2 linked regions of the Sus scrofa genome follow. The protein of the gene in region 2 interacts with the protein of the main gene of each other region in a biochemical or structural test. Links are inferred from orthologs where the notes say so. Each region holds a gene or a part of one and is shown on either strand. Other genes may lie near its edges.

What was found. The genes of interacting proteins can lie anywhere in the genome.
Region 1: the proteins of STX4 (region 2) and SNAP25 form a complex in vitro, tested with the Homo sapiens proteins (3 studies listed by BioGRID). The link is inferred for Sus scrofa from reciprocal best matches to the Homo sapiens genes STX4 and SNAP25.

Annotation. Positions count from the first base shown.
Region 1 is NC_010459.5:19,093,706-19,100,932, reverse strand, and holds the start of SNAP25 (synaptosomal-associated protein 25), read right to left. Parts: upstream 4,819-7,227; 5' UTR 4,639-4,818; intron 1-4,638.
Region 2 is NC_010445.4:17,426,979-17,434,372, forward strand, and holds the start of STX4 (syntaxin-4), read right to left. Parts: upstream 4,400-7,394; 5' UTR 3,781-4,399; coding exon 3,751-3,780; intron 3,563-3,750; coding exon 3,461-3,562; intron 3,349-3,460; coding exon 3,249-3,348; intron 3,113-3,248; coding exon 3,038-3,112; intron 2,299-3,037; coding exon 2,228-2,298; intron 1-2,227. UniProt on the Homo sapiens protein: Plasma membrane t-SNARE that mediates docking of transport vesicles. Necessary for the translocation of SLC2A4 from intracellular vesicles to the plasma membrane.

The DNA of each region.
Region 1 (7,227 bases), on a different chromosome or scaffold from region 2:
CCAAATTCCTTCCTTTCTATCCTCTACCTCTGTTCTTTATGAAACTCCACTAGCCATTGCTTTTCTGTCTCATCATTTGCTCAGTCCTTTCCTCTTGCTTCTTCCAAATTTTCTCTACCCATTTTTTTCAGATTTACCTGTCCCAAAAGCCTGGGACCTTACCCAGCAAAAGGCAGAACTCTCCAGAGGAAAATAAAGAAAGCTGACTAGTCAAAGAAAAAATTCTCAGAGTTCCCGTCGTGGCTCAGTGGTTAACAAATCCGACTAGGAACAATGAGGTTGAGGTTCGATCCCCAGCCACGATCAGTGGGTTAAGGATCTCGCGTTGCCATTAGCTGTGGTATAGGTTGCAGATGCGGCTCAGATCTGGCATTGCTGTGGCTGTGGCGTAGGCTGGTGGCTACAGCTTTGATTATTCCTCTAGCCTGGAAATCTCCATATGCCACAGGTGAGGCCCTAGAAAAGAAAAGAAAAAAAAAAAAAGAGAGAGAGAGAGAAAATTCTCCTTAGAGGGGCAGAAAAAGGAATGAGGGTAGACTGAGAACTGTGTGAATTAATATAGATTGTTCCCATCACAAAGGCAGAAACACCAGCTTTGAAATACCGACCAGCTTTTAGGAGAATTATAACAGCAACTGGGGGTGAAAAGCATGTTTGGAGGAAGAAGTGGATGGTCTTGGGTTACCACTTAGATGGTAAACTCTATGCTTTGTGCAGATAGAGTCCATGTCTGCCCTGTTTTCTGCTGTGTCTCAGTGCCCAGTCCAGAGAAAGAACCCCAATATATTTGGTGGGTGACCTTGAGAATAAGAGTATCAGTTTCTTTCATTGTAAAGCAGCAAATCTAAACCATGTCATCCTTAGTCACTTTATAGAAAATTTTACCGGGAGCCAAGTGATCTACATTGTAAGGGAAATATAGTAGACAAAATATCAAGTGTGGAGGCCAGAATACTCCATAATCAGAGGAGGACCTGGGTAAGGTCATTGGTTGTATTTTCTGACCTGTCAAATATGGAAGGTTGGATCAAATCATCTCTGAGTTCAGTTCTCATTTGGCCCACCGCAATGTGACTTTGCAACTCCTCCCCTTCAAAAGAAGAGCTGTGACTTGCTTTGACAAATAGTGTGGTGGAATGAGTACGTGCATGTTCTAAGCCACAATCTCAAGATTCGTTGTGTGATTTTCCTCTCACTCTTGGAAGCCTGCCTCCACCATGTAAATGAGCCCAGGCTAGGCTGCTAAAGGGTGAGAGACACATGGCCCAGTCATTCTCGCCACCCCAGCCAACAGCCAGCCAACTCCAGAAACAGAATCACTTAGCTGAGAAGAAGCTGACTGCAGATACATGAGTGAGCCCAGCTGAGACCAGGAGAAGGCTCCAGCTGACCCTAACTCACATTGTTGAACCAAATAAATCATTTTTTAAAGCCACCAAGTTTAGGTGTGGTTTGTTATGTATCCATAACTAACTGATCCAATTTTCAAATGGAAAATTCAGTGAGTCAATCATCTTTCCCTCCCTTGCACCTTCATACAGAGGGCACATTTTCCAGGAAACTTCCTCTAAGAAAGCATCCAATGTATTGTCTTGATGGTCTATTGTCTGCTTTTGTTTTGGCCACATAATTTCCTGAGTTATTATTCTATTGGCTATTTAAAGAGCTCTAACAGACATAGGATTTAGTCCACACATTATCCCTGGGACCTATTTATTTCTGCCTCAAGCCTTTTCAGATTTAGCTCAGGCCGAGCTACTCATGGCTCTTGATGTTCGCTGAAGAAAACAATGGAATAAGACATGTCAGTCTTTAGTATCTGCACCCCTCTCCTCTGCCAGCCACTGTCCTTGAAGGTGGATAGCACCCTCTTGTTATCTTCTGATGCTCCAGACTATTTGCCATGAACATCAAAGGTCACTTTCATGGCGACCATTCAGATCAGAACTCTGTTCTCTGCATTTCAAGGTAACACCTAGTTATGTAACAGATTAATTCTGCAGTGATGTGGTACATCACAGAAAATCCAGCTCAAAAACTGGTTCGAATGAAAAGGGGGAATTTATTTGTTTCTGTTACTGAAGGGTATTTGGCTTCAGGCATAGCTTTAATTAGGTTTCTATCCTTTTTCCTCTATCAATAATCTCTCTTCTCCTCTGTGTGGCCTTAGTATACAGGCAGGATTTCTTCACGTGGTGATGAAAACGGCTGCTGGGAGCCCAGCACTCCCGTATTTTCCACTGAAAAACTGTAGCACAAAAAGACCTCTCTTTTCCCAGCAGTTTCAGCAAAAGTCTTGAGGCGGATTCTCATTGGCCTCCTTGGGTCACGTACTGTGGCTGAAACTATTACTTTCTCCAGAGGGAATGGCATGTGCTAATTGGCCAAACTGATAACCTGCTAGCCCCCTGGAGAGGAATACAGTGGGAAGTGAGGGGGGTAGTGAACATCGCTCAATCACATGGATCCAGAGAAAGTGGGATTTCTAAGGGAACATCAGGCCCTGTTACTAGAAGGATGTGGGTAGGTGAACCCAGCAGTTATCGTCCCAAGAGTGGTTTTCAATCTCACTGTACATTACAGTCCCTGGGGTCTGGAGGGCAGGGGGTGGGGGTGGGGAGAAACTTTGGAAAACACCTCCAGAAATTGATTTATTCCATCTGAGGTGTCGCCTGGGCCTCAGTATGAGTTTAAGTTCTCCATGAGTAGCTGAGAGAAGGACTGCATTTGGGATATTAAAAGCTAATACAGCCTGATGCTGGGGAATGCCTTGAAGCCTGCAGGTCAAGCTAAAGGTGGGCAGCTCTCAGGGCAGAGTTCTTGACAGTGGAGAAAGGTGGAATCGGTATGGCATAGTCAAGTGGGAGTGGATTGGAGTAGGCAGACAGGAAGCTCTCCTTGCCCCCAATTTGAAGCATATTAGCAACCCCCTGCTGTGTCCCCAAGCTGCCAGCCCTGATGACAACTTTTAAAATTAGGTTTTGAGAAATGTTTCACTCCAAAAAGCCAAAGCATCCACTGTGACACCCTCAATTATAAAATGAAAGGGCTAAGGTCAGCTACCTTGTCAGAGGCCACCTCTCCCCAAGGTCAGAGGTAGGGGACCCTGGAGGGTCCCTGGCATCATTCAGCCTGGTGAGACCCCACTTGACTCCCAGGCCCCCATCAGAGGGAGGTGGAACTGCCATTCGCATCTTTGCTGCGGTGAAATGTTTTCTCCCAGCCAGTCGGAGGAGGCCAATTCTCCTCATCTTGCTAGGGAGGAAAAGTTCTGGCCAATCACAAGAAGCCAACTGGAGACTGCAAAAGTGGGGATGAGATGGCAAAATCTGTTTTTGGAGCTGCGAGAGACACACCTCTCCCTAGCAGAGCTGCCCCAGAAAGCTTGTCGTTAGGCAGCCTCTGGCAGCTGCTCCCCCACCCGGAATGGGTGGGGGTTTCAGAGGCTGCTGGCTGCCTGGTCTCTGTCTCCAGAATTCTACATCTTCAGAGTCTACCCCTTGAACAAAAACACGATGTGGGTTTTTTCCATGAACTTTCATTTTGGGGGGGAAATCAGGAGGGGAGAAAGCTCAGGGAGAGGTGGTGGGGTGCAGCAGGTAGGGTAAGGGACTGGAAATCCAAGCCCCAACACCTCTGTTCCTATCCTGTCTTCCTCGACTTGGGCACATGAGAATCCTTGAACCTCAATTTCCTCATCTGTAAAATGGGTTCCTAGATGTGCCTGAGAATCTTCCAGGCCCTGCAAATTCTCCAGTTATGATAAGGAAGGAAGGGGCCACCAGCCTGCTTTGCTTTGGGGGCAATTGTTGGTTGGGGCTGAGTAACTGAGCTTTTATGACCCCCACCCCATTTTTAAGAGTAAGAGACATCCCCCCTTTTCTCTTGGTCCTTTCCTTCCATCCTGATTACTATCACTGTCACTCTAGGAGCATAAACATTGGGGAGGATGCTCGAGGTGTGTGAGGGGTCGCCAAGCCCCCACACCTCCAAACGATGACTTTTAATTCCAGTTTTACCAAGAGAGATGGTCTGCGCTTCTGCAGATACAGAGACTCGAAGCCGCTTCCGTTTTTGCTCTTCTCTCCCGTCTCTCACCCCCCTCCCTCCGCCTTCCTTCCACTGCTGTTTACTGATCGCCCAAGTCGTGATGACGTGCCAGGCACGATGCCAAGTGAGAGGGCCCCCGAATGCATCAGGGGGTGGATTAGAAAGCTCTGCCCTGGCGGAGCCTCCCGGGGCAGACGTGGAAATAAACAAACAGTGACAGCATCGCGCCCCGAGGGCTCCCGCGGAAATGAGCATGGGCTGTTTGGAAAGCCCACACGACGACCCCCGACCCAGGAGAGGCCCGCCCGGCGCGCCTCGCCCCCGCTGCAGATGGCAGGGGGCGGGGGAGGCCTGGCGGCAGCCCCGCGGGTACCGCAGTGAGTCAGGAGCCCGCCTCCCATCCTGCGCGCACCAGCGAATCCCCGCCGCCCAGCTCAGCCCGGCCTGCGCAGCGCCTCCGCCCACCCCTCCTTGCCTCGCGTCTTCTGCTCGCGGGGGTGGGTGGGGATTGGGGGGAATCTGTCTCCCCGACCTTCCATCGCGGCCTGGAGCCGTGGCCACTGGAGAGAGGCCAAGGGGTGCGAATACCTGCCCTGCAGAAGGGAGGCGATGGCCGAGCTGCAGTGTTCCTTGGCATCTGGAACGTTGCCTGGGAAAAGGAAGGAAACAGAACCGGTGAAGTGACTCAGGATTCTTGGAGTGGCTAGGAGGCACGGGTGCAGAGGGCTGATTCCAGAAGGAGCGGTGGGAGGCAAGAGGCCTAATGGGTCTCTAAATCTCAGAGGGATCCTGCCCCAACCTTAGCTTGATTTTTTTTTTTTTTTTTTTTTTTTTGTAGAAGAGTAGAAATGCACTTAAAAAGTATATCTCTAAAAATACCAAACTGATGTTATTTGGGTGAATTCACACCAAGCAGATGACCCAGAAAAAGGAGTAAGATCCTGATGTCTTCAGCATGCGCAGAATAATCACTCTGCTGGGCTCAGGCCAAATGCCTTAAGCCCATTGGCCTTTCCGGATGACCTTTTGGGAAGGAAGGCTGGTGGCTGGATGGAAATGAAGCACAGCAAACGGGTTCCATTTATATCAGGAACCACCCAAAAGCGGCCATCTTCAAAAGGCCACTCTGAGCTCCAGGGGCTGCAGGGAGGTTACCAGTTCCCTTAGGAGCTTCTGGGGGCTGGGCTCTGTCCTTCCCCCATAGGCTAATGGCAGAGGGATAGCACTGCCCTGGGCCTCTGGGATGAAAGAGCTACCCCAGCCTAGCTGTGCCGCTACCAAGATGGGCTGTGATTTGTTCCACAAAGCCTGTGACTTGGCATCTCAGTGCATAGAGGGCCAGAGGGAAGCCATCTTTGTTTCTCTTGCCTGCTCCACTTTGCTTCCAGATGAGAAGACTGTCCTTCTTTAAAAAGCAGCCAAAGTCATGCTTCTAGAAATTAAGCCAGAGAGTACTGTCACCTGCTAATCCCAAGTCATTACAAAGCCTACAGGCCCTCCAAAATCGGCTCCTGTTACCATGCACCTCCTCCCTTTCCACTTTTCCCCCTCATTCTATCTGTTCCAGCCACCCTGGCCTCTTCCTTTTCCTTGAACACACCAGAGCACATCCCTACCTTTGTGCATGCTGTCCCTTCCACCTGGAACTCTCTTCCCCTAGACATTTATTTCACTCTGATCGAAAGACCACCCTATCCAAAATAGCATCCTGTCCACTGCACCTGTACTGTCTGTCTTCATAAACCTCCTTACTGTTTTCATGTCCTTATTACATGTTTATTTATCTGTTTATCATACATCTCCCCTAGAACATGAGTTCTCTGAGGGCAAGATCTTTGTCTGGTTGGTTATTCTACTAACAGTGCCTGGCACACTGTAGGTGCTCAAATAAATATTTGTGGGAAGAACAAGGTCAAGATTGGCCAAGGAATTTGCTCAGCTTCTCACATTTAGTGAACAGCTAGGAGCTGAGCCCCTTACCTCCTCCTGACCTAGAACTTTTCTAGTACTAGTCTCATGCTCAAGCTGGTATTTTAGAAATGATCTCAATGTGAAATCAGGCTGCACAATGGCTATTGAGTAAGCTGGACACCTTCTCAAGATGCTGTTTTTAAGGTTCCCCCGAAAGCCCAAGTGCCCCATCACTCTGGAATGTAAATATTTATAAAGGAGGTAAGTTCCAATAGATGTTGAGTGATTTATGATGCCGTGCTAACCTTTGGTCTTTCCCGACTTTTCTTCTTTCACCACCTTTGAAGCCTTGGCTGGAAGCCAAGGTTTAAAGCCAGTAGGGCCTTTGTGCTAAATCTCATCGTACCACTAAGTCTGGAGTTATTTTTGGAGGGGAGAGTCCTACAAACTGAACCTAGAATCATAAGATCTGTATCATTGCATTGGAATATGGCTAATGGTCATCTGGGCAAAGATGAGCCTTCTAAGTGGTTCAGTCTTCTTGGGGTTGTTTTTTGATGCCATACCCACTAGTTCCTTTTCTTAGCAATTGCTTATTTTCTCTTTTAAGTTTGAATATTATAAAGGATGTCCAAGAATTTCAGCAGTGCTGGTACTTTTTAAAATAACATGATGCAAAGAAATAATTCTGAGTTGGAGACAGGAAAACTGGGTTTGCATTTTGATTGCTCTGTATTCTACCTCTGTGACTCTCTTTGTGTTCCAAGTCCTCATTTGAACAGGTAGGGCTGTACTGTCCACGTGAGAGCACTGTGGTGAAGGTCAGATGAGTTATTGTGGAATAAATTGATTTGTAGGTGGTACAGCACTGGGTACTTCCCTGCCCAGCATGAAGCTCTTAGAAAGAATATTAAAAAGAAAATTGAGACTCAAAGTCCATCTTTCTGGAGTTACAGTCATGGTGGGAGCTGTGTACAAAATACAGTTAATACACATTAAGAAAGCAGTTGAGAGCTGAAATGGAATACCTGCAGGTATCGAGGTCACTGTGCCAGAGACTGGTGTTGGGGGGTTGTGATCAATGAGCAAATTGGGAAGTGTGTGATGGCTGAATCATAGGGCTGGAACCATGGAACAAGTGGGAGTGGGAGGAACCAGACAATGAATGCCATTTGATCAAACTGACATGAAACAGATACTGGAAGAATGGAGGGGGTAGGACAGGGCCTAGTTCCTGTCCTCTTTTCATTTAGCAAATATTCTTGG
Region 2 (7,394 bases):
ATTTATTTATTTATTTATTTATTTATTTATTTTTTAGGGTTTCACCCGTGGCATATGGAAGTTCCCAGGCTAGGGGTTGAATTGGAGCTGCAGCTTCCAGCCTACACCACAGCCACAGCAACGTGGGATCTAAGCCCCAGCTCACCACAATACAGGTCTTTAATCCACCAAGGGAGGCCAGGGATCGAACCTGCATCCTCATGAATACTAGTCGGGTTCATTACCGCTGAACCACAAGGGGAACTCCCTCAATATCACCTTGTGAACAGAGTTTTCTCTGCCTTATTGCAATTGCTACTTGCCTTCTCCTAGTGTTCTCAATCCCTCTTCTCCTGCTCTGGTCCCTTAACCCACCCTATGTTCTGAAATAACTTCCTGATTTATTATGGTGCTTCTCTCTCCTACCAGAATGTAAGCTCCGCGAGGATTGGGGTCTTTGGTTCACAAACAGCTAGAAAAGGCCCTCACACAGTAGACCCTTAATAAATAGGTGTTGAATGCTTGCTGAACACCAGCCTCACGGCTTAGACTAGAGGTGGGCCAGGTATACCTGGAGGTCCAGTGATTGCCCAGACTTCACAGGTCCACTCCAGCCTCTCACACCAGCGACCACCATAACCTCCCCCTGAAACGCCCTCTCACCTTGTCCATTCCTCAGTGTCTAAAATGTGCTTGGAGTTCCCGTCGTGGCGCAGTGGTTAACGAATCCGACAAGGAACCATGAGGTTGCGGGTTCAGTCCCTGGCCTTGCTCAGTGGGTTAAGGATCCAGCATTGCCATGAGCTGTGGTATAGGTTGCAGATGTGGCTCATTTCCCACATTGCTGTGGCTGTGGTGTAGGCCAGTGGCTACAGCTCCGATTAGACCCCTAGCCTGGGAACCTCCATATGCCGTGGGAAGCAGCCCTAGAAAAGGCAAAAAGACAAAATAAATAAATAAATAAATATAAGTAAAATGTGCTCACACCTGGAGTTCCTGTTGTGGCTCAACGGTTAAGAACCCGCCTAGTATCCATGAGGACGTGGGTTCGGTCCCTGGCCTTGCTCACTGGGTTAAAGAGCTGGCATTGCTGTGAGCTGTGGTATAGGTCAAAGACACGGCATGGCTCTGGGGTTGCTGTGGCTGTGGTGTAGGATGGTAGCTATAGCTCTGATTTGACCCCTAGTCTGGGAACTTCCACATGCTGTGGGTGTGGCCCTAAAAAGACACAAAAATAAAAAAATAAAATGTGCTCATTCCTTGGATTTCCTCAGAGACACAGCTGCTCTCCCGGCTTCAGCTGCACCCTTTCAAGATGCCCAAACTGTTTCGTCTTCAATCTGGGGTCTTTGCTGAGCTCTGGGCCCACCTATTCCAACTCTGAGCTCTAAGTATGCAAAACCCCTCCCCACTGGGCACCAAGAGGAGGCTGGTCAGACCTCAACTCTCCTTACAAAGATGGTGACTCAGTGACCTTCCCCCCATACCCCACCCCCAGAAGTTCCTCTTCCTAACTTCTTTTTTTTTTTTTTTTTTTTTTTGGCTTTTTAGGGCTGCACCCGCAGCACATGGAGGTTCCCAGGCTAGGGTTCTAATCGGAACTACAGCTGCCAGCCTACACCACAGCCACAGCAACGCCAGATCTGAGCCACGTCTGTGACCTATACCACAGCTCATGAGAACACCGGATCCTTAACCCACTGAGCAAGGCCAGGGATCAAACCCACAACCTCATGGTTCCCAGTCGGAGTCATTTCCACTGCGCCATGACGGGAACTTCTTCTCTTCCTGACTTCTTGATTTCGGCCTCTGGAGCAGAGGATGTCCCTGTCACATGGGCAGGGAACCTCCCAGTCATTTGACTGGGCCCTCTTCTTCCCTGGGCAGAGCCATTAGCTGCCAAGTCCTTCCTGAGTTATGTCTTTATCATCTATTCAAGCTTAACTCCCCCTCTTGGCTTCTAGAAAGTGTATCTCCTACAGCTGAGCCCAGAGCATGTCTGGGATCTCAGCAACTTCTCATTGAGTGGAGAAGAAGCAGGCAGGATGTTATAATGGACTGGAAGTTAGGAGACCTGGGTTCTTGACCTTAAGTGAGTCCTTTTTCTCTCGGAGCCTCAGTTTCCCCATTTGGAACATCATCAGGCTGGACCCAAGGATCTCTAGGCACCCTTCCTTCTTACATCTGCCAGCTATTTATCTAGAAAACACTTGTTGAAATGTCCTAGTTCTGGGAATAATGAACCCACCTGGGTTTTTCTCATTCTTGTGTTGACCGAGTTATAATTCTCATCGGCTTCCTCCTTCTGGGGCTCTATGGCTGTGGGAAGATATAAGGGTATTGGCAGAGGAAAGGGTTTGACCTGTGGCTTCTGAAATTCATTTGGGGACTTAGGACCCCAGCTGCCTGGCCATACAATAGAGAGCTGTTAATCTCCATAGGATGTTTTGGGGGAAATAGAATTGATCATAAAATGATATTCTGAGGCTCTGACAGGTGAAAGTATACTTTCCTTTGCAAATAAGTATACCAGAGAATTCCCACAGGTATGCAAAGGCCTCCGAACAAAACTGTCATCTGTTTGCACCAAGGATGCACCCTAGGCAGGAGGAATTGTAGGAGCACAATTGATCCTAGCACAGCATGGGTTTGAACTGTGTGGATCCACTTACACCTGGATTTTTAGAAAATAAATGCAGAATACACCACTGCACATTCCACGTTTTGGTGAATCCACCCACGAAGAACCTGGGATATGGTGGGCGGACCATGAATTGTTTGCAGATTATGACTGGGGGCGGGCCAGTGGCCACACTAATCTCCACCTTGGTCAAGGGTCAAATGTAAATGGTTTCATTGTAAATAAGGGAACCTGAGAGGCAGGCCTGCGCTGTGGAAAGAACTTTGGACTGGAAGCCAGGAGATGGAGATTCGAGACACAGGCCTGCTGTGTGGTCTGGTTATATATCACTGGCCTCTCTGGGTCACACACTCGCGGATATATCAGGCATTGGGCAGGATCAGAGCAAAGTATCTATCTGAGTTCCTAGACGCTCACCCTTGAGCTCTGCGCGGATGTCCCTCCCCAGCTGTTTGATCTCGTCACGCAGGTTCTGCAGGTCCTGCTTCATGCCTGAACAAGAAAAAGCCATGATGCCCAAAGCACGGCCCCTACCTCAACAAATCTCCCTGGCCACCACCTGCATGGAACTACCATCCCCACAATCCCTCTGACTGAGCATGCGTTCTGCACTCGCGATTTCACTCACTTTCCTCGGGAAGGGGCGTGGCCAGGATGGTGACCTGCTGCTTCTCCAACTCTCGGACCTTATTCTCCAGCTTGACAATAGTCTGCCGAATTGTCCGGACCTGGGGAGGATGACCGAGAGGGCTGAAGCAGATATGGGAGTCCTCCAGACCGCTCTGCACCTCGGGTCATCCAGCCCCCTCGTGAATCCAGACCGAGACCCCAGCCTCTTACCTTCTGGAAGAACTCATCGTCTGGGCTGCCCAGCCGTGCCGTGCCCGGGTGTACCACCAGCGCGACCCTCTCCTTGTCCTCATCGTCAGAGCTGTCATCTCCCTGACAGGGCCGGGGTCATTGGCATCACTTCCTTGCTGTTGCTTTCGCCCCGCGGGATTCACGGGCTTCCGGGTCTTCCAATCCCACAGCTACCCCTCCCTGCCCTGCCCCGAAGACCAGGAGTCCTGCATTCCAACTAGACCCTACCCCGTCCTCCTGTCCCAACCCCGCTGCGCCGGACTTCTCACCTGTCTCAGTTCGTGGGTCCTGTCCCGCATGGCGGCCCGAGCTCCCTCTCCCCGGCGCGGGAGCCCAGAGGGCCTCGAGATTCTAAGTTTGGAACTCCTGTACCCCACTCACTCTCTTGACACTTCTCTCTGCCCTCACCCTGTGGACCCCTAACCGCCCCCCACGAGCCGCCAGAGGCTCTATCCCTGACACCATCCACCGTCGAGGACAAGGAGCCGACCTCGGGGACCCCCAAGTTTCCACAGGTTGGAACTCCCTTTTCTTACCCCCCTCCCGCTCCCGTAGCTTCAGCCCCGCCCCCTCTGGGATGACTGGAGCATGCGCACCGCACCGCGTCCCTTCCCCGCCCGAGGGAAAGGCGGAGGTCGGAAGCGCCAGCTCCCCGAACGGAAGCAAAATTGCCAGGACGTGAGAACCCGCCCCCTTTGCCGGAACTATCGCATCTTCCAACGGAAATCTAGTTGCCAAAAGAGGTGGAAATGCGTCATTGGTACGTAATCTAGGGACCCAGCATCTCACATCACCCCATGGCGCCCCCCCCGCGTCACGTGACTGGCCCGGTCCCAGCCTCTTGGACCTTAGAACGTGATGCTCTGACTGTCACGTGTCTCCACTCTGTCAACTCGGTCTCCGGGACACCTAGCTCCCCACGACGTCCTCGGCACCCTGGCTCCCACAAGTCGGGAGGGGGCGCCGACTACCCCCAGACATCTTTTGAGACAGAGGGTGGTAGGACCCTGGCTGAATTCGGCTTTATTCCTTTTGGGTTCCGGGGGTGTGGGCAGATTGACGACTTAGAATTTGGGGCTGTCCACATCATGAGACCTTGAAATTCGGAAAAGAATAAGATCCGGCGTCAGAGAGTTGCAGGGTTTGTAGGCAGAGTATCTGGGGGTGGGAAGTGACCTCACCCGAGGCGGAAAGCTCTTCTCCCGCATACTCCTGGCACAGCTTCTGACAGGTGGGCGGCTGGCGCCCGGCTTGAACACTGCAGTCCCGCCGCACTCACCACCTTCTGAGCAGTGAGACCATTTCAGGACAGCTCAGGCTGAGAAAAGAGTCCATTATGTTGAGCAGCATATCACCTACACCCCTTCGCCCCCACCTTGCACCAGGGTTTACCCTCTGAAGGACACAAAAAAGAAACAATTCCGCATTACTGTGACCTGTGATTGCTTGAGGTGAAGGCGTGATTGTGTGGTTCTCACCCGAATCCCAACACCTAGTGGGCCCTCAGTAAATATTTGTGGACAGAACTTTAGCCTTTCCTATGTCTGAAGATGACGCGTGTGGTTCCCTAGTCCTCTCTTTTAGGCTTCAGGCTTTCATCGTGACACTTCCCAAAACCTGACCCTCTAGAGGTTCATTCATTCAGTGGATATTCATTAGGCACTTATTATGAGCAGAATGCTCTTCTAGGGCCAGAATTACATCCCGGCCCAACAGAGAAGAATGACTTATGCTTTTTGAAATCTACATTCTGTAGGAGGAGGCCCCAAGGCCACTGGGTCTCCCCATAGCCAGGATGGCTAGGACTGATCTAAGACTCCTGGATCCCAGGGCTCTCCCCGAGGAACTTATATGAAGGTCAAGCAAAGGAAGGAAAGGCCCTTCTCTACTAAGCCCCGATAAGGAAACCTAGATTTCTGTGACTGAGTTGCTGTGGACTTCTGGAAAATCTGGCAACTCCAGATTCTTAACCCACTCCTCTGGGCTGGGGATCATACCTGCATCGAGCTCGCCAGGGACACCATCGGTCCTGTTGTGCCACAGCAGGAACTCCTGGAAAGTCACTTTTTTTTTTTTTGTCTTTTGTCCTTTTTAGGGCCACACCCCAAACATATGGAAGTTCCCGGGTTAGGGGTCTAATCAGAGCTGTAGCCACTGGCCTACGCCAGAGCCACAGCAATGACAGATCCGAGCCGCATCTGTGATCTTCACCACAGTTCACAGAAATGCCGGATCCTTAACCCACTGAGCGAGGCCAGGGATGGAACCCACAACCTCACGGTTCCTGGTGGAATTCGTTTCCACTGAGCCACGACAGGAACTCCTGGAAAGTCACTTCCTATCTCTGGGCCTTAGTCTTCCATCTCTACAATGGGTGGCAGTGGCGGGGTGGGGGGAGAGCTAGTCTTTATGGGCATTCCCTGCGCTGAAGTTCAGTGACAGAGGTTAGAAATTGTCAAAAGTGCTAGCTGTCTCATTCTATGTAAAAGGCTTTGATCCTTCTCCTCTTCCCTTTAGAATCCAGCTCACCCAGGGTTGGGAATGAAGAAGTGAAGACAGTGCTACCCTGATCAACCGAGGGAAGAAGGAGGGTTCAGGAGGCCAAACCCTGCCCGTGGAGTTCCCCGGAACTCATGAGGAAGAGCAGGTCTGCTCTTGGGTCTTTCCCATCAGCCTCTGCCTCCCTGCCCCTCCTCCCTGGCACCCCTCTGGCCCTGTCTCTGCGTGGTACACTGGAAGGGCTTTCGGACATCTAACTCCTAGTTCAGTGTGCGATCTTGAGTCATTTATTGCCCCTCTCTGGAACTTATCTCCATTGACAACTTGATCTGGTCATTTCTGTCTTGCCTAAGCTAAGAGTTGAGCAATATCAGGGGAGTTAGGAAGTACATGAAAGGTTCTTATAAACTGGTAAGGGTTCTTCCCTCTGCAGGCTTTTATTACTATGAGTTCCAGGTCTCTCTGGGCCCACCAGTCCCACCTACCTCTCTCCGCCTTATGGTGTGGATTTGTTGGTGCCTTTGTTAAATTTCCCAGGATTATGATGGTCGTCCTTTCATTTGTGGTCTCTTCTGGGTGGGACCGCAGGGCTTTGGGACGGTGACTTGAGGCCGTCAGAGGCTGGGCTCAAAGCCTCGGGGAGTGGTGTGTGGAGGAGATGAGGAGCAGGGGCCATCCAGGAAGAATGGTTCTGGGAATGGAGCTTTCCAGAACTGAGCCTTTCTCTCTGTTTCATGGTCCTTTTTGACTCCTCTCAGGTCCTCTGAGCAGCCTTGAAGTGTGCATTAAGAATATTGGTCCTTGGAGTTCCCGGCATGGCGCAGTGAAAACAAATCCAACTAGGAACCGTGAGGTTGTGGGTTCCATCCCTGGCATCTCTAAGGTTCCAGTGTTGCCATGAGCTGTGGTGTAGGTCTCAGATGAGGCTCGGATCTGGAATTGCTGTGGCTGTGGTGTAGGCCAGCAGCTACAGCTCTGATTCGACCCCTAGCCTGGGAACCTCCATATGCCACTAGTGTGGCCCTAAAAAGACAAAAAGACAAAAAAAAAAAAAAAAAAGAATATTGGGCCTTGAACGTGTGGGTGTTGGGGGGTATTTTCCTTTCAGTTTATGTGAAAGTCACACTTTACTTGATTTTTTTTTTTTTTTTTTTTTTTTTTGCTTTTTAGGGCCACACCTTCTGCATATGGAAGTTCCCAGGTGTTGACTCGGAGCTGTACCTGCCGGCCACAGCCACAGCCACAGCAATTCAGGATCCAAGCCATTCCTGTGACCTATACCACAGCTCACAGCAACATCGGATCCTTAACCCCCTGAGCTAGGCCAGGGATTGAACCCGCATCCTCATGGATACTAATCGGGATCTTAACCCACTAAGCCACAACAGGAACTCACACTCTACTTGATTTTGGC